Linked DNA regions of Arabidopsis thaliana. The protein of the gene in region 3 purifies or fractionates together with the protein of the main gene of each other region. This does not show direct contact. Each region holds a gene or a part of one and is shown on either strand. Other genes may lie near its edges.

Region 1 (4,720 bases), on a different chromosome or scaffold from region 3:
ACCTTTCATAGAAAACAGTTCAAAAAGCAATATAAAGCCAAAAAACGAAAAAAAGATTATCCTGAAATTAATCCACAGTACTGGTTTTTTTTTTTTTTAAAAAGGAGACCGCGTTTCTACGCTGACTTTCAAATCAGTCGCGTCGGTATTATTCCACACGCCTTTTTTCTCGTCCCCATCCTCTATCCACATTTCTCTCTATATATACTCTCCTCGTATCCTAAACTCATCCTCAAATTCAAAATTTAACACACAAACACAAACACACACACCAAAAAAAACACAGACCTTAAAAAAATAAAAATGGTTGATATGGATTGGAAGAGGAAGATGGTATCATCAGATTTACCAAACTCACCTAAGCTTTCTTCAAAGCTTCACGTAACTATTCCATCACCGTTCAAAATCGTCCCTGTTTCATCTCCGATCTCATGTTCAGCACCTGCTCTTTGCTCTGCTTACGAGCTTTACCTTCGTCTCCCTGAGCTAAGAAAGCTCTGGTCATCTCGTGATTTTCCTCAATGGACATCAGAGCCGATTCTCAAACCAGCTCTTCAAGCTTTGGAGATCAGTTTCAGATTAGTTTTCGCCGTTTGTTCTGATACTAGACCGTACATCAACCACCGTGAATGGAACCGGAGGCTAGATTCTCTCATCACGAAGCAGATCCAGCTTGTAGCAGCGATCTGCGAAGATGAAGAAGAAGAAGGTATATCAGCGGAGGCTCCGGTCGGCGGTGGACGGAGTTCGTTGAGTTTGTTACCGCAGCTAGCTACGTGGAGGAGATCAGAGGCTTTGGGGAAGAAGATCTTATATACGATCGATAACGAGATGAGTCGGTGTAAGTACACGCTCGGACTCGGTGAACAAAACATCGCCGGAAAACCAAATCTCCGGTACGATGCGATTTGCCGACCAAACGAGATCTATAGCCTCAAGGATAATCCATACGCAGATCATATCGATAATCACGAGAATCAAACTCTCTATATCATTCACCAGATCCTCGAATCGTGGATCTACGCATCTGGAAATCTTCTGAATCGAATCGTCTCAAGTATCGAAGAAGAGAAATTCGGAAAAGCTTCAAACGATGTTTACTTGCTGGAGAAGATCTGGAAAATTTTAGCGGAGATTGAAGATCTTCATATGTTGATGGATCCGGAAGATTTTTTGAAATTGAAGAAACAGTTACAGATCAAATCGACGGGTAAAAACGATGCGTTTTGTTTCAGATCTAAAGGATTAGTGGAGATGATGAAGATGTCGAAAGATCTGAGACAGAAAGTACCGGCGGTCTTGGCGGTTGAGGTAGATCCAACCGGAGGACCAAGATTACAAGAGGCGGCGATGAAGCTTTACGCGAGGAAGACAGAGTGCGATAAGATTCATTTGCTTCAGGGGATGCAAGCGGTGGAAGCGGCGGCGAAGAGTTTCTTCTTTGGGTATAGGCAGTTAGTGGCGGCTATGATGGGAAGTGCGGAGATGAACGCGACGGCGAGTCAAGAGTCGTGTGACTCACTGAGTCAGATATTTATGGAGCCGACGTATTTCCCGAGCCTTGACGCGGCAAAGACGTTTCTGGGAGAGTTTTGGAGTCATTTGGGATGATTAAATTTTAATTTCTGCTGGTATAATTATTTAATATAAATTTAAATTGGTGGTTTGGTTTAATTTAGTTTGTAAGATAGTGAAATTTTTGGAACATTTGACGATCCATATTTGAATACAAATTCATTTTTATATGATTTATGAGATTTTTTAACAAACGATAACATTTACGAATATCGTAATCCATACTTTGAATTATCCACAAGTCGTAATTCAAATATGGGTGGTCTACTAACGAGTAACGACTAATCTATATGCTCTGACTAATCGTCAACAAATCACCACCTATCCTTCGTAGATGTTAGTGTATGAGAAAAACACAATTTCACACCTATCCTTTGTAGATGTTAAATTATGAGAAAAACACAATTTCACTTTCACAGTGTATAATATTCAAAATTCAATGATAAACACACACACAAAAACGTTATAAAAAACCCAAACCGACGATGAGTAACCAAACCGATGTATAAAACGACATTGCCTTTCTCTGTTTTTTGTGTTCAACAAATTTCATTAAGAGAAAGAAGGGAAGTGTTTGAATGAGTATTCATTCATTAGTCCAAGAAAAACATTTAATGGGCCTGTTTGTAGGCCCACTGGCACATAACCTATCTTCTGTATCATTGATGCCTTCTCCTACCTTCCTCTGACGCTCACATCGGAAACCCTAAATCTCCACTCTCTCGCGCCTTTTACCCCTTCTCAGAATCTTAACCATGGCGGCGACGAGCGAGCACACCATCTTGCAATTTGTGTCTCCGTCATCAACGGCGTCCGCTACAACCTCTGTACTCACGGCGAGGATCCACCCTCTCGTTATCTTTAACGTCTGTGATTGCTTCGTGAGACGTCCTGACTCAGCTGAACGAGTCATCGGAACTCTCCTCGGATCTATCTTACCTGACGGAACCGTCGATATCCGCAATTCATACGCCGTCCCTCACAATGAATCATCCGATCAGGTTCGAAATTTTGATCTCTAAATTTCTCCTCTCTCTCGATTCTCTATCGTTGGAGATCCTAGATCTTTCGTAGCTGAAGATTTGCTTGTTAGGATGTGAATGTTTATAGGAGTAGTGTTAGCTTCATACCCCAAGGTTGTGACTTGTGATAAGTTTTGAGGGTTATGGTTTGATATGGATGCAGGTTGCTGTGGATATTGATTACCACCACAATATGTTAGCTTCACACCTTAAGGTGAATTCAAAGGAAACTATTGTCGGCTGGTACTTCTCGTTTCCCACTCTTATTCTCTTATACTCTCATGATTAGTCTCATATCTTTGTCACATGATTCTTGTAGCTGTGTTGGAACACTGCATTAGGTAGTTTCTCATTTTGGAATAGTTGATTGAACAAGTTTATTGATTTGCAGGTATTCAACTGGTGCTGGGGTTAATGGCGGTAGTTCGCTGATTCATGATTTCTATGCTAGAGAAGTACCCAACCCAATTCACCTAACTGTGGATACTGGGTTTACTAATGGTGAGGGTACTATCAAAGCTTTTGTCTCTTCAAACCTCTCACTCGGTGATCGACAACTCGTTGCACATTTTCAAGAGATTCCTGTTGATCTCCGCATGGTTGATGCTGAGAGAGTCGGATGTGAGTATTCTATCCTTTTATTAGTAACCAATTCTATATTCAAAATACATAACAGTCCTCATTCCTCAATTGTCTAAGTAGTTCAGTTTCTGCATGGTTGATTCAGTATCTAGAGATTGTTTCCCTAATGATTGTGAATGAACCAACGGGAATAGATGATCTTTGGTTGTGTCTGTTCAGTAGATTAATGATTGTGACTGATTTAAAAACATCATTTTGATCCACAGTCGATGTACTTAAGGCAACATCTGTTGACAAACTCCCAAATGACTTGGAAGGAATGGAGTTAACAATGGAGAGGCTGTTAACTCTAATCAACGATGTCTACAAATATGTTGACAGTGTCGTGGTAAGCTTATGATATCCTTGACTGTCTATTATCGACCATAGATACATGATCTTTGATACAGAGTTTTAATGAAATTTCCCAGGGAGGTCAAATAGCTCCAGACAACAACATTGGACGATTCATTGCAGATGCAGTAGCCTCCCTTCCCAAGTTACCTCCACAAGTCTTCGATAACCTCGTGAATGATAGTCTCCAGGTAAAAGATTGTAAATTTCAAGCCAAAGCAAAACACTTTGTAAAAAACTAATGGTTGTTTCTTCTGTTATTTCAGGACCAATTGCTTCTGTTGTACCTATCAAGCATAACAAGGACACAGTTGAGTCTAGCGGAGAAGCTAAACACAGCTGCTCAAATGCTATAATAAGCTTGGAAACACAAGGTTTTGCTAAAAATGGGGAATGCTGCTTTTTTGGTTTCGAATTTTCTTTTAACAAGTTTATGTAAGAATCAGCTTCTTGTTGTAGTGTTCCTAAATTGCAAGTTTAAGAAAGACAAAATGCTCTGTTTCGTGAATTAAGGTCTTTAAAAGGGATTTTTAGTTGGTGTGCCTAATTTTAAACAATATACATATAAATGAGCTTTGTTCTTTTTTTATTTGCCACTTGTTGCGCCTAATCTTTATCACTGGAGATATTTATGCTCAGAATTTTGGATCATGGTCTCTCTCTATTAGCTATGTTACATTGAAAGAGTATAGAAGCCTAGAATTACTGCTTTCTCTTTTGCCGTATTGCGATTGGCCTATGTAGGATCTTACAAAACAGGCTTAATAGACACTATTGGAAACTAACTTCTAAATTGTAAACAATTTGCGATTTGCGGTTGCATATAATAATGCTAACTTTGGCATATAATAGACACTATTGGAAGTTAATATCTAAATATTACACAACATTTGCGATTGAAATCATTCAGCAATTTTTTCATTTCCTGCTTTCACTACACAACTAACACAATCAATTTTTTTACCCGTTTTTTTGTCTTTCTGATAAGCTAAATTAGAGCTACGGTTTATGTATCGGAATACATTAAACTGATTTCGCTGAATCCGAACGAGTATTTGAAGTTTTTGTGGTTAAAAACTTGATTATTTTAGTTTGTGTTGTAAAAACATGAGGGGAGTTTTTGTGGAATGGATTTTGATAGCAAATGT
Region 2 (8,039 bases), on a different chromosome or scaffold from region 3:
CCATCACAACCTTCTCCACTTTATCAATAGAGTTGAGGAGCTTCTTCTCTGGAGTGAGGGCATCTTCTTCCCCTGTGTTTTCTCTTGTGATGTCGAGCAAAATCTGATGGACTTTAGCAGTTGAGGGTGGCCAAGGACGCTTGAATCCAATAGATGGACCGGGAGTAACCATAGAATAGTCGTGCTCGAGATGAGCACCTGACAACGGTACTAGAGAATCAAGAACCCCAAGTTGTTGTGGAGTTGGGGTCTCAATATCTCGGCCAACACCTTCTCCCATACGAGCTCTCCTTCTCTCAATAGCCTGCATATAAGAGTTTGTAAATAGCCAGACTAAGCAAGCCTTTTGGTAACAGGTTATGACTTATGATATAGTTAACAAAGAGGCTAAGCAAGCCTGTTACAGAAGACTAATCTAGCTTATAAGCAGCAGATTCTGAACCAATATGCAAATCACAAACCAGATATAAACAGATCACAAATTAGCTATATATCAATGAAAAAAACTCCAGTTAAATCTAAGAATAAGCAGACAAATCCAAAATGAGACTAGGTTTAGTGAACTAACCCTAACAACGGCAGAAATATCACGGAGGGGCGTTCTTGGATACCAAGAAGGTAAGACAGAATTTGAAGCACGAGCCCTTCCACGCCTTGTAACACCCAAGCTCATGTTCTCTCGTCCCTGTGGCGATCTAAATTGAATTTGACCTCTTCTACCACCACCAGTCCGCCGAATACCGAAATTACCCCTCACAAGCCCACCTCTTCCCGTCATAGATCCTTGACCAATTGACCCAAGTCCTCCTGTAGCTTCCGATGGCACTCTCTGAACCGGAGACCCAAACAAATTGTGCTGTGTTGCTGGTTCGTCAAGTAAAATACCATGCGAGCGTCTATTGAGAAATGCGGCTGGGTAATCAACTTGCCTCTCTATTCGATCTCGTGCTTCTGGCATTTGTGATTGAGCGCTGAAGAAATCAAACAACTATGCCATTAGAACACACCCAAAATCGAAATCGCAACATTAAAACCCAAGAACTCAGTCTTGTTCTCCATTGTTAATCAGATTTTCTCGAAACCTCATAAACAACAAGAAAAAGAGATCAACTCTTCGTTTTCGCAACAAATCTCCGTCACATCACAAAGAACCTACTTGAACAAATCAAACCATGGATTTACCTATGAATCTTCAATAGATTCCTTCGTGATAGCTCGGAATGGCTTCGTGAACGGTAAAGTGGAGGGGACAAAGGAGAAAAAGAGAGAAAAGCTTTTGAGAGAGAGACGATCTGGCAAACAAAATTTAGACCATTTTCTAGGCGGGTTTTGTAATTGAAAATGAAAAATTTCGAGCTCGCACGTGTCAAAGTGGTTTCACCTGTGTGAAATATTTTGAATTTTTCATCTCACGCGGGATAAATTTCGTTTTTTTTCAAAGCGCACATTGTCACAATTCGTCAAATTCTTTGTCAGATTTCAATTTTGCCCTTCTGAATAAAACTGGGCTTGTGGCCCAATTCTATTTACGTACGCATTGCTTTCAAGATCGAATCCTCACCGTTAATTGTCATAGGATCCAACCGCTGCTTTTTACTAATACCAGAAAACCGGATTGGCTAGTTGGTACGGTCTAATGATACGATAACTTGCTCTGATTATACGAAAACACTCATCAAGAACCAACTCTAATTAATGTTTTCTTCTAATTATAGTTAAAACGGATTGAACCGGACAATTCCATAATTTTAGTCGGCTTCCGGACAGGCCTTCGTGGGTTTGGAATTTGTGGCCGACAATGTATTGTCGGTTTAAGACTTGTTTAGGGTGTATATATAAGACTGTTGAACGAAAAAAAAAAAAAACTCATCGACTCGATCAAATTCTTAAGACGACGATTACGGAGAACGGGAGAGAGGTAATAGAAGAGTTTTTCGTTCCGAATTTTGTTTTGTTTCATTGATTTAATTCTTGGAATTTGGGGTTTGTTTTTCCGATTTGGTGATGACGAATTTGGGTGGTGGTGGTGCGGAGGAGCAAGCCAGGTTGAAGCAGTATGGGTACAAAGTCAATTCCAGTCTTGTTCTTAACAGTGATGAGCGTCGTCGTGATACGCATGAATCTTCTGGTGAACCGGAGAGTCTCAGGGGTAGGATTGATCCGAAATCCTTTGGAGATCGTGTCGTTAGGGGAAGGCCTCATGAGTTAGATGAGCGGCTTAATAAATCTAAGAAGAAGAAGGAACGTTGTGATGATTTGGTGTCTGCTCGTGAGAGCAAAAGAGTTCGTCTTAGGGAGGTGAGTGTACTTAATGATACGGAGGATGGTGTTTATCAGCCGAAGACTAAGGAAACAAGGGTTGCTTTTGAGATTATGCTTGGTCTTATCCAGCAGCAATTGGGTGGGCAGCCTTTGGACATTGTTTGCGGTGCGGCTGATGAGATTTTGGCAGTTCTTAAGAATGAATCCGTCAAAAACCATGAAAAGAAGGTAGAGATTGAGAAACTACTAAACGTTATTACTGATCAGGTTTTCAGTCAGTTTGTTTCGATTGGAAAACTGATTACAGACTATGAAGAGGGTGGTGATTCTTTAAGTGGTAAAGCTAGTGAGGATGGAGGACTTGATTATGATATTGGTGTTGCCCTTGAATGTGAAGAGGATGATGATGAGAGTGATCTTGATATGGTCCAGGATGAAAAAGATGAGGAGGATGAAGATGTTGTTGAGCTTAACAAAACTGGAGTTGTCCAGGTGGGTGTGGCAATAAACGGCGAGGATGCAAGACAGGCAAAGGAGGATACGAGTCTTAATGTTCTGGATATTGATGCTTATTGGCTTCAGAGAAAGATATCTCAAGAATATGAGCAGAAGATTGATGCACAAGAGTGCCAGGAACTCGCAGAAGAGCTGCTTAAGATACTTGCTGAGGGTAATGATAGGGATGTTGAGATCAAGCTGCTTGAGCACCTTCAGTTTGAAAAGTTCAGCCTTGTTAAATTTCTGTTGCAAAACCGTCTTAAAGTTGTGTGGTGCACCCGTTTGGCTAGGGGAAGAGACCAGGAAGAGAGGAATCAAATTGAGGAGGAGATGTTGGGGTTAGGTTCAGAGTTGGCAGCAATTGTTAAGGAGTTGCATGCCAAAAGAGCAACAGCCAAAGAAAGGGAGGAGAAACGGGAGAAAGATATCAAAGAAGAAGCTCAACATCTTATGGATGATGATTCTGGTGTTGACGGAGACAGAGGCATGAGAGATGTTGATGATTTAGATTTGGAGAATGGTTGGTTGAAGGGCCAGCGTCAGGTGATGGACCTGGAGAGCCTTGCTTTTAACCAAGGTGGTTTCACGAGGGAGAATAACAAGTGTGAGCTTCCTGATCGCTCTTTCAGAATACGTGGCAAGGAATTTGATGAGGTTCATGTGCCGTGGGTTTCTAAAAAGTTTGATAGTAATGAAAAGCTTGTGAAAATTAGCGATTTGCCAGAGTGGGCCCAACCAGCTTTTAGGGGAATGCAGCAGTTGAATAGGGTTCAGAGCAAAGTGTACGGCACTGCTCTTTTTAAGGCTGACAACATTCTTCTTTGTGCTCCAACTGGTGCTGGGAAGACCAATGTTGCCGTGCTCACCATACTGCACCAGCTTGGATTGAATATGAACCCTGGTGGAACGTTTAATCATGGTAATTACAAAATTGTCTATGTTGCACCAATGAAAGCCCTTGTTGCTGAGGTCGTGGATAGTCTATCTCAACGTTTGAAGGATTTTGGAGTTACTGTGAAGGAACTCAGTGGGGATCAGTCCCTTACTGGGCAAGAAATCAAAGAGACTCAGATAATTGTTACAACGCCAGAGAAGTGGGATATCATCACCAGGAAATCTGGAGATCGCACTTATACACAGCTTGTGAGGCTTCTTATAATCGACGAAATTCATCTTCTTGATGATAATCGAGGGCCTGTGCTTGAAAGTATTGTCGCTAGGACTCTTAGGCAGATTGAAAGCACAAAGGAGCATATTCGTCTGGTAGGTTTATCTGCAACACTGCCAAATTGTGACGATGTGGCTTCATTTTTGCGAGTGGATCTTAAAAATGGGTTGTTTATATTTGACCGTAGCTACAGACCTGTGCCTCTCGGTCAGCAGTATATAGGAATTAATGTGAAAAAGCCGTTACGGAGGTTCCAGTTGATGAATGATATATGTTATCAGAAAGTAGTGGCTGTTGCTGGAAAACACCAGGTCCTTATTTTTGTTCATTCGAGGAAGGAAACAGCAAAAACTGCAAGGGCAATACGGGACACAGCTATGGCAAATGATACCCTCAGCAGATTCTTGAAGGAAGATAGTCAAAGTCGTGAAATTCTTAAGTGTTTAGCTGGACTTCTCAAGAATAATGACCTGAAAGAGCTTCTGCCTTATGGTTTTGCAATTCATCATGCTGGGTTGACAAGGACTGATCGTGAGATAGTTGAGAATCAATTTCGCTGGGGGAATTTGCAAGTGTTGATTTCCACGGCAACTCTTGCCTGGGGTGTGAATTTGCCTGCACATACTGTCATTATCAAAGGAACCCAAGTATATAATCCTGAGAGAGGGGAGTGGATGGAGCTGAGTCCTTTAGATGTTATGCAGATGATTGGTCGTGCCGGAAGACCTCAATATGACCAACAAGGGGAGGGAATAATAATCACTGGATACAGCAAGCTACAGTATTATCTTCGTTTGATGAATGAGCAACTACCTATTGAAAGCCAGTTTATTTCCAAACTTGCTGATCAGCTCAATGCTGAAATTGTGCTTGGAACCATTCAGAATGCTAGAGAAGCTTGCCACTGGCTTGGCTATACATATTTATATGTCCGCATGGTTCGTAATCCGACACTGTATGGCGTATCGCCTGATGCCCTTGCAAAAGACTTGCTATTGGAGGAGAGAAGAGCTGATCTGATACATTCTGCTGCCACTATCTTGGACAAGAACAACCTGATTAAGTACGACAGGAAAAGTGGACACTTCCAGGTTACTGATTTGGGACGCATTGCTAGCTACTACTACATAAGCCATGGAACAATAGCTGCATACAATGAGAATCTGAAGCCAACAATGAATGATATAGAGCTTTGTCGTCTGTTCTCTCTGAGTGAGGAGTTCAAGTATGTCACTGTTCGACAAGATGAGAAGATGGAACTGGCAAAGCTTTTGGATCGTGTACCAATTCCGGTAAAGGAAACACTAGAAGATCCCAGTGCAAAGATCAACGTTTTGCTGCAAGTATATATTTCAAAGCTAAAGCTCGAGGGTCTTTCTTTGACATCTGACATGGTTTATATTACCCAAAGTGCTGGACGTTTGTTACGAGCTATTTTTGAGATTGTGTTGAAGAGGGGGTGGGCTCAACTGTCTCAGAAAGCTCTCAACTTGTCTAAAATGGTAGGGAAGAGGATGTGGAGTGTTCAGACACCCCTCTGGCAGTTTCCTGGAATTCCCAAGGAGATTCTGATGAAGTTGGAGAAAAACGATCTGGTGTGGGAGAGGTACTATGATCTATCTTCACAGGAGCTAGGAGAGCTTATTTGTAATCCTAAGATGGGCAGACCACTTCACAAGTATATCCATCAGTTCCCAAAACTGAAACTTGCAGCACATGTTCAGCCGATTTCTCGTTCTGTTCTGCAGGTTGAGCTCACGGTGACACCTGATTTCCACTGGGATGACAAAGCAAATAAATATGTTGAACCGTTTTGGATAATTGTGGAAGACAATGATGGTGAAAAGATCCTTCATCATGAGTACTTTCTTTTTAAAAAACGGGTTATTGATGAGGACCACACTTTGAACTTCACTGTACCAATCTCTGAGCCAATTCCCCCACAGTATTTCATCCGAGTGGTTTCAGACAAATGGCTTGACTCGCCGACTGTGTTACCTGTATCTTTCAGGCATCTTATTCTTCCAGAAAAATACCCACCACCTACAGAGCTACTGGATTTGCAGCCCCTCCCGGTGATGGCCCTAAGAAATCCTTCTTATGAAACTCTTTATCAGGATTTCAAGCATTTCAATCCAGTGCAGACTCAGGTCTTTACTGTTTTGTATAACACAAGTGACAATGTAGTGGTTGCTGCTCCAACAGGAAGTGGGAAGACTATATGTGCGGAGTTTGCTATATTAAGGAATCATCTCGAAGGACCTGATTCTGCAATGCGTGTTGTCTATATAGCACCTCTTGAGGCTATTGCCAAGGAGCAGTTTCGTGATTGGGAGAAAAAGTTCGGAAAGGGGCTTGGTTTACGGGTTGTTGAGTTAACTGGGGAGACATTATTGGATCTTAAGTTGCTTGAGAAAGGTCAGATAATCATAAGTACTCCTGAGAAATGGGACGCTCTGTCCCGGAGGTGGAAACAGAGAAAATATATCCAGCAGGTTAGTTTGTTTATCGTTGACGAGCTTCATTTAATTGGGGGTCAAGGTGGTCAAGTGTTGGAGGTAATTGTCTCTAGAATGAGATATATTTCAAGTCAGGTTGGGAATAAAATCAGGATTGTTGCATTATCAACTTCCCTTGCAAATGCCAAAGATCTTGGAGAGTGGATTGGGGCCAGTTCATGTGGCGTTTTTAACTTCCCGCCTAATGTTCGTCCTGTCCCACTGGAGATCCACATTCATGGGGTGGACATATTGAGTTTTGAAGCCAGGATGCAGGCGATGACTAAGCCAACATACACTGCCATAGTACAGCATGCCAAGAACAAGAAACCAGCTATCGTTTTTGTCCCGACCCGTAAACATGTCCGCCTTACTGCTGTGGATCTGATAGCATACTCGCACATGGACAACATGAAGAGCCCTGATTTCCTTTTAGGGAATCTGGAAGAATTAGAGCCTTTTTTAATACAAATTTGTGAGGAAACTCTGAAGGAGACTTTACGCCATGGCATTGGCTACCTGCACGAGGGTTTAAGCAATCTGGATCAGGAGATTGTGACTCAGCTTTTTGAAGCTGGACGGATTCAGGTATGTGTAATGTCTAGTTCATTGTGTTGGGGTACTCCATTGAAGGCACATTTGGTTGTTGTAATGGGAACACATTTCTACGATGGACGGGAAAATTCTCATTCGGATTACCCCATCTCTAATCTGCTCCAAATGATGGGGCGTGGTAGCCGACCTCTGCTTGACGACGCTGGGAAGTGTGTGATCTTCTGTCATGCACCACGTAAAGAGTATTACAAGAAATTTTTGTATGAAGCTCTTCCGGTTGAGAGTCATCTTCAACATTTCTTGCATGATAATTTCAATGCAGAAGTAGTTGCTAGAGTTATAGAGAACAAACAAGATGCTGTGGATTATCTTACCTGGAGCTTCATGTACAGGAGGCTTCCCCAGAACCCTAACTACTACAATCTCCTGGGAGTGAGCCACAGACATTTATCTGATCACCTCTCAGAGCTCGTTGAAAACACTTTGTCTGATCTTGAAGTGAGTAAATGCATTGAAATAGACAATGAGTTGGATCTCTCTCCTCTCAATCTTGGTATGATTGCGTCATATTACTACATAAATTACACCACCATTGAGCGATTCAGTTCTCTCTTGGCTTCCAAGACCAAGATGAAGGGTCTTCTTGAGATCTTGACTTCAGCTTCGGAGTATGACTTGATTCCTATACGTCCTGGTGAAGAGGACGCAGTTCGGAGACTCATCAATCACCAGAGGTTCTCTTTTCAAAACCCAAGATGCACAGACCCTCGTGTGAAGACAAGCGCACTTCTTCAGGCGCATTTCTCAAGGCAAAAAATCAGCGGGAACCTTGTAATGGATCAGTGTGAGGTCCTTTTATCAGCAACAAGGCTTCTTCAAGCAATGGTCGATGTGATATCGAGCAATGGCTGTCTGAATCTTGCTCTTTTAGCTATGGAAGTAAGCCAGATGGTGACTCAAGGCATGTGGGATCGAGACTCCATGCTTCTGCAGCTTCCTCACTTCACAAAGGACTTAGCCAAAAGGTGCCATGAGAATCCGGGGAATAACATTGAAAC
Region 3 (4,757 bases):
TCTTCTGATACGTTCACGATTGTAGTGAGCAACATTTGTCCACCAATCAGCTTTAGACTTGACATATCGGAGGATCATATTCTCAATTGCCACAGGTAATCCAGGGACCTTCCATGGTATATTAGCTTTCCAACACCGCCATGCCTCACTAAGGTGCTGCAATATCGTCCGCGCCTTATTTTGCTTAATACCCTCTGCACATTAGAAGACAGTATAAACCAACAAGGAAGAGATAAAATTAAAGGAAATCGACCTTGAGAAAAACAAATCAGTTATAGACGCAAGAAGCGAACCTGGCATTGCATCAACAACATCATGCATGACAGCAGCTCGAAGCTCCAAATCAAAATGGCTTTCAACTCTCTGTTTTGTGACTGTTTTGGCCACTCCCTTTGAGTGACGCCCCTCAAATTGACGTGCAAGCAGATTCCCTAACCATCGTTCTAGAAGAGGAACTATTCCGCGAAGGAAAAACAACCATACCCTCCACATTGGAGCCCAAAATCCACACCCTGGTCCTTTACCCACAGGACCAGTATTGAAACGGTAATAGATCAAGTGTTTCAAATCCTTGCACATCCTGATTTGTCTCATAAGCCTGTACTTATAACGATACATACCTGTCAATTGCCCAACATGGGAGAAAATATATTGCAGGCCATCAGCCAATTGAAAGGCATCAACATTACCAAGTCGGAACTGGACATTTGCATCAACTACAAGTTTTGTCAGCCGGAGGATCTCACGGCAGAGATGGAAAGCATTTCCAAAACGCGACTTCTTTCGTTCCTTGGTTGTCAGAGTTTTCACAGGCTTGAGGTTGAAGTTATAATCAAGGTGCAGGTAGTTCAAATTCTTCCTGTGAATCAACAGGTTCAGCATATTATACCCCTGCCGGCAGACTTGCAGACCCACTTCAACCCAATCCAGTTCGGTGCTCTGAAAAAACTTTGTAGCTGCAAGAGATCGAAACAAATGCTTCTTCTTCTGAGCCTTAGGGGGTCTATGGTGCAGCTCATTCAGTAGATAACATTTCAAAAGCTTCTGGTAACTAACCCGAACTTTGACAGGATATGCTGGAGGACTGCAGAAAATGAGATAACTAAGAAGTTAATACAATGTCTAGTAAATTTCAAAAGGGGAAAGAGAACCACAGTAGCATCAGAAAAATTAGCTTACCAGTGCTCCTTAAACCACTCTGCAACAAGGGGTATATCTTCAGCCCGCCGAGTCCTCCCAGACCTCATATTGAAAGGCCGAGGGGCAAACAACAATGAAATGCCAGGAGCTGTAGTGTCAGTGTAGAGTGGCGAGTTATTTAGCAAAGGTTCCAGTCCTTCTGGTAACACAAAGTCATCCCCATCATCATCATAACCATTACTTTTGCGCTGTTCTTTATTAGTGTTATTAGAGTTACTTATGGGGTGAATTAATGGATCATAATAAAAGGCAGGAAGGTCAGGATCCTCAGTCTTTATGTACATAACCATAGGAGTGTGATAGACACAGAGTTTTACTTTCCTGGGCCTATTATTGTACAGATGTGGGAAAGCTACTTTGTACTCAGTTCGCAGAGGGGATCGAATTATAAGCTTGTTGATGTCATTAAATTCATTCCAGTCTTCATCTCCTTTCTCCATATCACGATGCAAAGGCTCAAACTTAGGACCGCCTGAAAAAGAGTACCAAATTGAATCAGGGAAAGAGAACAGAAGGACAACAACTGTGAAAACGAAGATATCAGAACAGGAGAACATAGAGTATAGCGTTACCTGGTATGCACATGTTCAGTGCCTTTGCAGTAAAGAATGATGGCATGTCAAACAAGTAGAAGTAGTTGCGATCAACCAAATCAGACAACAACTGGGCTGCAAGCCTGTGAAGGGTTGACATAATTGGAAGTGAGAGATTCCACGTCTGGTAACTTGGACCATTGATCATTTTTGTTTTTACAAGTGGCTTGTGGTCGTAAAACCAAGAGTACACAGCAGAATCTTCTTCTTCATCTAGCTCCAACTGAATTGCCTCTAGAGGATCAACGTCCAACAGGTTATCAGCATAGTCTAGAGGGGGCTCCTCATCATCAAATGGTGGAAACCGCATTCTCTTGAAATGACGACGATCCCTCTTCTCCCTTCTCATCATTATCCACATAGAACCCCACTGCAAACGAAAGAATCATCACTAGAAAACATGTCTCACAAATTCACAAATGCACAGACACAAAAGAAGAGAGAGGGAGATTATTCACCCACCTGAGCCATGTAAATAGGTTCCACAACCCATCGTACTTCGTTCACAAATGTAATAGCTCCAGTGATGTGGTACAAGACCTTCACGTCCCGGACCTGGAAAATATCTGAGTTCAAAATTTTGAGCAGAGCAGGAGAACAACTAAAGCGAGATATAGATCACTAAGTGAATAATTACCTGTTCCCAGGGCATAGGCATATTCTCCAGGAGCTTGAAAACTGCGTGAGGAACGAACTTAAGTGCTCCAAGATATACACGTTTATCAAGTCGATGTTTCTTTGATGACATATCACCATGATCCCTGAATCAAAACGCAGAGTCAGTTTCAATCTAACTTAACCCAAACCTAATAATACAAAGAAATTGGACCAGATTCGTTTCCCAGTCAACTGGATTTCGAAATCGAAATTGAAAAATTAGAAACTCGCCTGATGATTTTCCTAACGTGCTCAGGTGGCATGTCCTCCTTCTGAGTTTCCACGAACCCAAACTTCCTCTTGTCGCCGTACCGTTTGGAATTTAGCTGCATCCATGTTCTCGCCTTCTTCTCAAGCTTCGCCTCTGCATCCTCGGGAGTAGGAACCGTCGGAGTATTCCGATTAGAAGGCGCCGTGTAAGAAGGATGATCAGCGGGATGTGAAGGTGTCTGCATCCTCGAACCGTCGGTACCAGGAGGAGCTAAGGACGTACCATCAATGTTCCACATAGCTTCAGATTTCAAATCCAAAGGCCCAGCAAAATCGCCGAGGAGCAAAACCCTAAAACCTCAGTGCGAGCCTTGACGAACACGAAAATCCCTAAAATCACCGTCGTCGGGTGAGGTTGGTAAGAAAGACGATTAACCGAACGAACATATATATACGAAGGCATTCATGGGCCTTTTAGAAAAACAATAGATACGATTATGGGCCTAATTTATGGATTCAGTCACGGCTCATTTAGTATTTAAGAGTAAGAGATGTGTGGAAGGGGTGATTTGGTAATTTACATTCAAGTCAACCAAAACCAGACTTTTTAATCTCTCTCGATCAGAAGTTACCTTTTTCACTTTTGCCGAGAAAATCAGAGACAGAAGAAGAAGAAAAGCGAAAAAAAGCAAAACATGAAGGCGACGACGAAGACTCCGATCCACGTGGTGTGGTCATGGGTTAGGAGACAACCTCCGAAGGTGAAGGCTTTTCTCGCCGTGGTCACTGGCATGGCGGCTTTGGTTCTTCTCAGATTCATTGTTCACGATCACGACAATCTCTTCGTTGCCGCTGAGGCTGTTCATTCCATCGGGATCTGTGTGCTCATCTACAAACTCATGAAGGAGAAGACCTGTGCCGGTACTATTCTATGTGTCTTGTCTTTATCACATCCATTTTTAGGGTTTTTCAACTCAGTCCTGCCTTATCAGCTTCTGATCGTATGTATTCCTCTGTTCTTAGCAAAATTACTTTTCAACGTCACAACTTTTTTGTTTTTCCTCATAATCGCGTCCAAATTTTCGAGCTTTGATCAGGATTTCATTGGTTTACCACTATTATCTGCTCCCGGAAGCAGCCTTTAGCCGTAATTCGTAGAATCATCATCTTTATAATCAAGGATTCAATTGGCAATTTAGGGTTTAAGATGCATTCTATGGTTCTTTTTTTAAATCGAAAGTGTTTACCTTCGATGTGTTTATATAACTTTGTGAATGATTTTGCAGGATTGTCACTGAAATCTCAGGAGCTTACGGCGATATTTTTAGCTGTTAGGCTGTATTGTAGCATTGTAATGGAATATGATATACATACCATTCTTGACTTGGCTACTTTGGGAACAACTCTCTGGGTTATATTTATGATTCGTTTCAAGTTAAGAGCTAGTTACATGGAGGACAAAGACAACTTTCCTCTCTATTATGTGGTAAGTCAATCTGGTTTTGATCCTCGAGTTGTTTGTTATCATTTACAGTGACAATGATCTGATTTCAATTTTTGCAGCTTGCGCCCTGTGTTGCATTAGCTGTGTTCATCCATCCATCGACCTCTCATAACATAATAAACAGAATTTCATGGGCTTTATGTGTATACCTTGAAGCTGTTTCAGTACTACCTCAGCTACGAGTGATGCAGAACACAAAGGTCACTACTTTATTTCACAATGTCAAGTAGAGAACTACATTTGTTTTACTCTCTAATCCGCGTCTATTTGGTTTTCAGATTGTTGAACCGTTCACGGCTCATTATGTTTTTGCACTTGGAGTAGCAAGGTTCCTCAGCTGTGCCCACTGGGTTTTACAGGTTAGTTTTGATCTTCAAGAGTGGATAGAGGTTATACCAATAGTGGTGATTCCTATACTCGATTGGATTAGTACCTTAAAAGTCGATTTTGAATAGCTGAATACATTGTCTAATGTGCTGAAAATAGGTTGTGGACACGCGGGGACGGTTGCTTGTAGCATTGGGTTATGGATTGTGGCCATCAATGGTTCTGATCTCAGAAATTGTTCAAACTTTCATCTTGGCAGATTTCTG
Region 4 (4,913 bases), on a different chromosome or scaffold from region 3:
GGTCCATGAGTTCGGTCTTGATACCGTCGGCCTTAAGTATCATAATCTCAAGCTTGTCTCCCTATTACAGTAAACAATCCACAAAGCATTAGTTAGAGAAAAAAACTTGAGGAAGATGAAGTAGTTGTGCAACGTAAGGGATATAGATTAAGTAAATGTTTTGGTAATATTTTGAAGACTTGAACCAAATGCAAATGATATGAGCACAAAGGCAAGCTTTAGGTGGCGTGGTGACAAAAGAAGACACAAATAGGACAACTTACAGTGTAGATATCCCTCTCTGTGGCAGATGCGAAAACAGTTTTAACCAAGTCAACTGCTTCAGCTTCGGAAAGGGGCGTGTTTGAATCCTACATGGTGGCAGAAGACGAACAAATAAGCAACAGAACGATTCATTTTATCTTTACAATGCGAAACGCCAAAAGCACGAATGAAGAATATCAACAAACCTGTTTAGGTAGCAAAAGAGGACTTGGAGACTTGAGCTGATTGTCAAGGAAAGGCATGATGAGTGTGGAACCAGAACCTTGAGCACCGTATCCAACTCTCTCGTATGAGCCAACAGCGTCGTAAGTAAAGACACACCCTTTTCCTGGATATATTCAAGACTAAAGATCACACAAAGTACCCTCTTCTAAAGTCACATCATAACGGAGAAAAAAAGAGGAGCATTTTACCTTCCTCGTCAAGCCCTCCTAGAACATTAAAGGCATAGTAGGGGAAAAACCGCTTGAAATAAAGCGTGTTGGAGAGAAGCTGGGCCATTGCAGGACAGCTCATCTGCTTGTTATGCTGATGTTGATAGATCTGAAGGAAACCAAACACAGAGAAAACACTCTTACACAAGTCTTTCATCATTTTCTAATACTGCGAAGGATGAAAGATAATTGATCAAACGACCAAAGTTTAACTCACCAAGTGTCTGGATTTGAGAACCTTCTGCAAAGCTTTCACATCAGCCTGGAAGCCAGAGGAAGACAAAACAGCTCTGTCCGCTCTGGAAAAGTTAAAAGAAGACAACAGCTTAACAAGAGTCTTACAAGTTACATAAGATGAAAAACACGAGAATTCTATCTATTTCCATACGAATGAATACTTGTGGTATATAAGATCAACAACACAGTAACAAACACTCTTTACGTAAGGTTGAACAAACTCAAAGAACTACACACATTGTCAATAAACGTTATAAGAAAACGAATAAGCTAAGCAATAAACCGGATTATAGAATGATCAATGTAATCACAAAGTTTATATAGAGATAATTGTAACCACTATCAAAAGCCATGTCTAATAATAATTAAGAAACCTATTTTATCTCCACCCATATATAACTGGTTTCACCCAGATCTACGAATTACGATTGCAAAAAAACCCTAATAATCTACAGCAATAATAGTTCGATTGCCAGCATGGAATCACTCTCCCAAAGAATCAACAGTGAGAGAAGAAAGAGAATGGGTACTTACAGTTTATGGATTTTGGAGTAATCGCGACTAAGAATACTGTAACCAGTAGACATCCGAGTATCGGCGGCGATAACACAGTAATCCGATCCAGCGATGGCCACACATGTTCTGAAAAACACACAACGATTAAATTCACAGTAAGTGAATCGTAACACAATCGCCCAGATAGCAAATCAGAATAAAGAAGAAAGACACTAAGCGAAGAAACCCAGCAGGTTGATTAAAGGTCACACGATCCGTACCCTCCATTGTTATCGTAAGGAGACCAGTTCGCGTGCTGTTTAGTCATGGCGGATTTGAGAGAGAAAGCTTTGAGCTAGGGCTTAGAAGAATGAAAAATGGCAGACGAAGCTTTCCGGGTTTGTGTTTTGATGTCAAAGAAACTTCCGAATCGGATCTTATTAGCTCTGGCTTTGTTAACAAGAAAAAGACGGAGACTCAAAACAATACCGTTTTGGACGTGGAAATTACGGGCTGTAATAGGCTTTATAATGGGCCTTATTTGGGCTTTGAATTCCAAAGAAATAATCTTTCTTTTCTTTTCTTCTTCTTCTTCGTCTTCGATTTTCTCTCTCAACGCAAACTCGTAAGCTGCTTCCATTTTCCCTTCTAGACCATTGATTTGTTCTTCGAAAAAACCGTTCTTTCTTTTGCCTCTCACTCTAGTTCCTTCTCTCATTTCTACTTCTCTAGCTTCACTGACTTGCTGCTACCACTAAATCTTGGCATTTGTGGAAAGTTGGGAATTTAGGGTTTTTGGGTGTGTGTGTGAAAACAATGGAAGCACTAGTTGTTGATGCTGGCTCTAAGTTCCTGAAAGCAGGAGCAGCAATTCCTGACCAGTCTCCTGCAATGATAATTCCCTCTCAAATGAAACGAATGGTTGATGATGGGTCTTCTTCAGCTGATAACCCCACCACTGTCTTTGAGGATGTCACTCTTGATCCTATTGAAAGGGGTTTGATTAGAGATTGGGATGCTATGGAAGATCTGTTGCGTTATGTTGTCTACACTGGGCTTGGATGGGAAGAGGGAAACGAAGGCAATATACTTTTTACAGATCCACTTTGTACTCCTAAGGTTCTTATCTCCAAATTTCCTCCTTTGTTCTTAATTTAAAAGATTACAACTTTGAGTCTCTTTTCAATTCCCATAATCCTGTTCTGTTGGATTATGAAAAGGAACAATTTTGTTCTTTTAGTACCTCATTTTAGATAGTAAGACGTTGTTATTTTTAATGTTTCGACCTGATTTGGCTCTGCAAATGTTTGTTTGTGGACAGGCTATTAGGGAGCAATTGGTGCAGTTGATGTTTGAAACATTCAATGTCTCTGGATTTTATGCATCTGAGCAAGCAGTGTTGTCCCTTTATGCTGTTGGACGCATCTCCGGTTGCACTGTTGATATTGGTCATGGGAAGATAGGTATTATAACTTGCTTGGCCTTTGTTACTCTTTGTGTCTTTCACTTTGTCATAAACTCATAATTCCATGTTTTATGTGAGTTATGATGTTACATGAGATGCTGATTCCCTATACTAACCTTTTTCCATGATCTTAAACGTTTTGTTAAACCAATTTTTTTTGGATTCTTCTTGTGTTTATAGCTGGATATGATCAGGATGTTGTTATGTCTGATGTTTTAACTTTGTGGTTGATCCAACTCTTTTCAGATATTGCCCCAGTTCTTGAAGGTGCAGTACAACACATTGCCTCGAAACGGTTTGAGCTAGGTGGAACCGAGCTAACTAAATTATTTGCCCAAGAGCTTGGAAAAACCAACCCGTCGATGAATCTCAGCATGTCTGATGTTGAAAAACTCAAGGAGCAGTATGCAAACTGTGCCGAGGACGAAATTGCTTACAAAAAAACCCAAAACTGTGAAATCGAGCAGCATACTCTTCCTGATGGACAGGTTTGTGTGAAATCAAGATTCTACATTTTGTGTTGTTACCTTATACATATAGATAACAAAACCAATGGCCTTATAGGTGATAAGCATCGGGCGAGAGAGATACTCGGTTGGAGAAGCTCTGTTTCAGCCATCAATACTGGGACTGGAGGAGCATGGAATCGTTGAGCAGCTTGTCCGGATTATCTCCACAGTGTCATCTGAGAACCATAGGCAGCTCTTGGAGAACACTGTACTTTGTGGTGGTACAACCTCCATGACAGGTACTAACAACACTTGATATCATAGTGTGTTTGAATATCTTTTGGGTCGGAAAACTGAAGGGTTTGTTGGAATGGTCGATGGCAGGATTCGAAAGTAGATTCCAGAAAGAAGCAAACTTGTGCTCATCTGCCATTAGGCCAACACTGGTGAAACCGCCAGAATATATGCCGGAGAATTTGGGGATGTATTCGGCTTGGGTTGGAGGAGCCATACTAGCTAAAGTGGTGTTTCCGCAGAATCAGCACGTTACTAAAGCAGATTATGACGAGACTGGACCATCAGTGGTTCACAGGAAATGTTTCTGAAACCATAGACTATAAAACGATGTTGTTGTTGTAGCTGAGGATTTTTTTTTTGGTTGGCTTTGGTTTGAAGATGTGGACCAGATTATGTAGTACATTTCAAATTATGGCTTCCAAATATCGACTAATATGTGTTCAATGAGCCCTTTTCTGAAAACATTGACAAGGTAACTTTGCCAATGCCAACACACACCCATTGTCAGTGGAACTCTAAATGGTTTTGCAGATATGTAACCAGTGAAACTCTTGGTTTTGATGCAGAGAATGGCCAAGATCCTCTTTTTCATTTTGTTTTGAGATCTTTAGTACTTGTACAATCAAATAACACAGTCCCTTTTTGTTTTGTTGGTGTTGTTTGCTGAAATTCGAGAAGGAAAGGGTCAGTGTTAATGTCTAAACAGAATTCAATTTTTTTTATTTTGTAAATTGGTTGCCTCTTTACCTTGTTACTTGTTGTTAGCTTATCTCATCCCTTCTCTCATCTATATAATCGGAAAAGTTTTTAATTAGTGAAATTTAAAATGGAAAGATAATTAGTAGATTTTCTTTGACTTTCTTGATTTTTTTTTCATAATTAAAAAAAAACTATTAATTCTTGAAATTTTGCACGCAACCCGTTAGATTCTAAATTGGTGACGTATATAAACTCAGAAGAAGTAGTAGTACCTTCTTTCACAAGACTCATTTTTTAACGTTCAAGAACAGAAACAAAATTCACTCACTTATAAGGTCTGTGACCACCAGAATAGTAACCATCTGTTGACGTCACAAGTAAAGGAAACCACCCAATCTCACTGTATTAAACGCATCTCTCGAAAATGTTCCCAAACGAATCAATGTTAACCACCTAAAGATACGGTGTTGTTGAAACAACTCTTTTGTTAGTATGTGTTAGTTTAGTACAATAAAACCTTTATAAATTAATAATGTTGGGACAAAGATATTTTATTAATTTAGAGAGATATTA

What was found.
Region 1: the proteins of AT4G38780 (region 3) and EIF2 fractionate together in Arabidopsis thaliana (co-fractionation; one large-scale study listed by BioGRID). This does not show direct contact.
Region 2: the proteins of AT4G38780 (region 3) and AT2G42270 fractionate together in Arabidopsis thaliana (co-fractionation; one large-scale study listed by BioGRID). This does not show direct contact.
Region 4: the proteins of AT4G38780 (region 3) and ARP7 fractionate together in Arabidopsis thaliana (co-fractionation; one large-scale study listed by BioGRID). This does not show direct contact.

What each region holds. Positions count from the first base shown.
Region 1 is NC_003071.7:16,697,540-16,702,259, reverse strand, and holds EIF2 (eukaryotic translation initiation factor 2), read left to right. Parts: upstream 1-1,950; 5' UTR 1,951-2,330; coding exon 2,331-2,576; intron 2,577-2,760; coding exon 2,761-2,840; intron 2,841-2,988; coding exon 2,989-3,218; intron 3,219-3,445; coding exon 3,446-3,567; intron 3,568-3,649; coding exon 3,650-3,763; intron 3,764-3,838; coding exon 3,839-3,928; 3' UTR 3,929-4,219; downstream 4,220-4,720. Other genes in the region: HSPRO2 (ortholog of sugar beet HS1 PRO-1 2), read left to right, coding at 304-1,611.
Region 2 is NC_003071.7:17,602,326-17,610,364, forward strand, and holds the start of AT2G42270 (U5 small nuclear ribonucleoprotein helicase), read left to right. Parts: upstream 1-2,004; coding exon 2,005-8,039. Other genes in the region: UVI4 (uv-b-insensitive 4), read right to left, coding at 1-304, 569-958. UniProt on the Arabidopsis thaliana protein: RNA helicase that plays an essential role in pre-mRNA splicing as component of the U5 snRNP and U4/U6-U5 tri-snRNP complexes. Involved in spliceosome assembly, activation and disassembly.
Region 3 is NC_003075.7:18,108,071-18,112,827, forward strand, and holds the start of AT4G38780 (pre-mRNA-processing-splicing factor-like protein), read right to left. Parts: upstream 2,971-4,757; 5' UTR 2,960-2,970; coding exon 2,763-2,959; intron 2,555-2,762; coding exon 2,431-2,554; intron 2,349-2,430; coding exon 2,256-2,348; intron 2,164-2,255; coding exon 1,773-2,163; intron 1,673-1,772; coding exon 1,180-1,672; intron 1,085-1,179; coding exon 294-1,084; intron 195-293; coding exon 1-194. Other genes in the region: AT4G38781 (uncharacterized protein), read right to left, coding at 2,971-3,123; AT4G38790 (ER lumen protein retaining receptor family protein), read left to right, coding at 3,356-3,581, 3,947-4,146, 4,224-4,364, 4,443-4,523, 4,651-4,757. UniProt on the Arabidopsis thaliana protein: Functions as a scaffold that mediates the ordered assembly of spliceosomal proteins and snRNAs. Required for the assembly of the U4/U6-U5 tri-snRNP complex.
Region 4 is NC_003074.8:22,472,052-22,476,964, forward strand, and holds ARP7 (actin-related protein 7), read left to right. Parts: upstream 1-1,931; 5' UTR 1,932-2,246; coding exon 2,247-2,549; intron 2,550-2,751; coding exon 2,752-2,893; intron 2,894-3,141; coding exon 3,142-3,383; intron 3,384-3,459; coding exon 3,460-3,643; intron 3,644-3,728; coding exon 3,729-3,949; 3' UTR 3,950-4,394; downstream 4,395-4,913. Other genes in the region: PBF1 (N-terminal nucleophile aminohydrolases (Ntn hydrolases) superfamily protein), read right to left, coding at 1-57, 260-350, 450-592, 678-807, 916-997, 1,470-1,577, 1,712-1,758. UniProt on the Arabidopsis thaliana protein: Essential protein required during embryogenesis and all plant development stages, probably through a chromatin-mediated regulation of gene expression.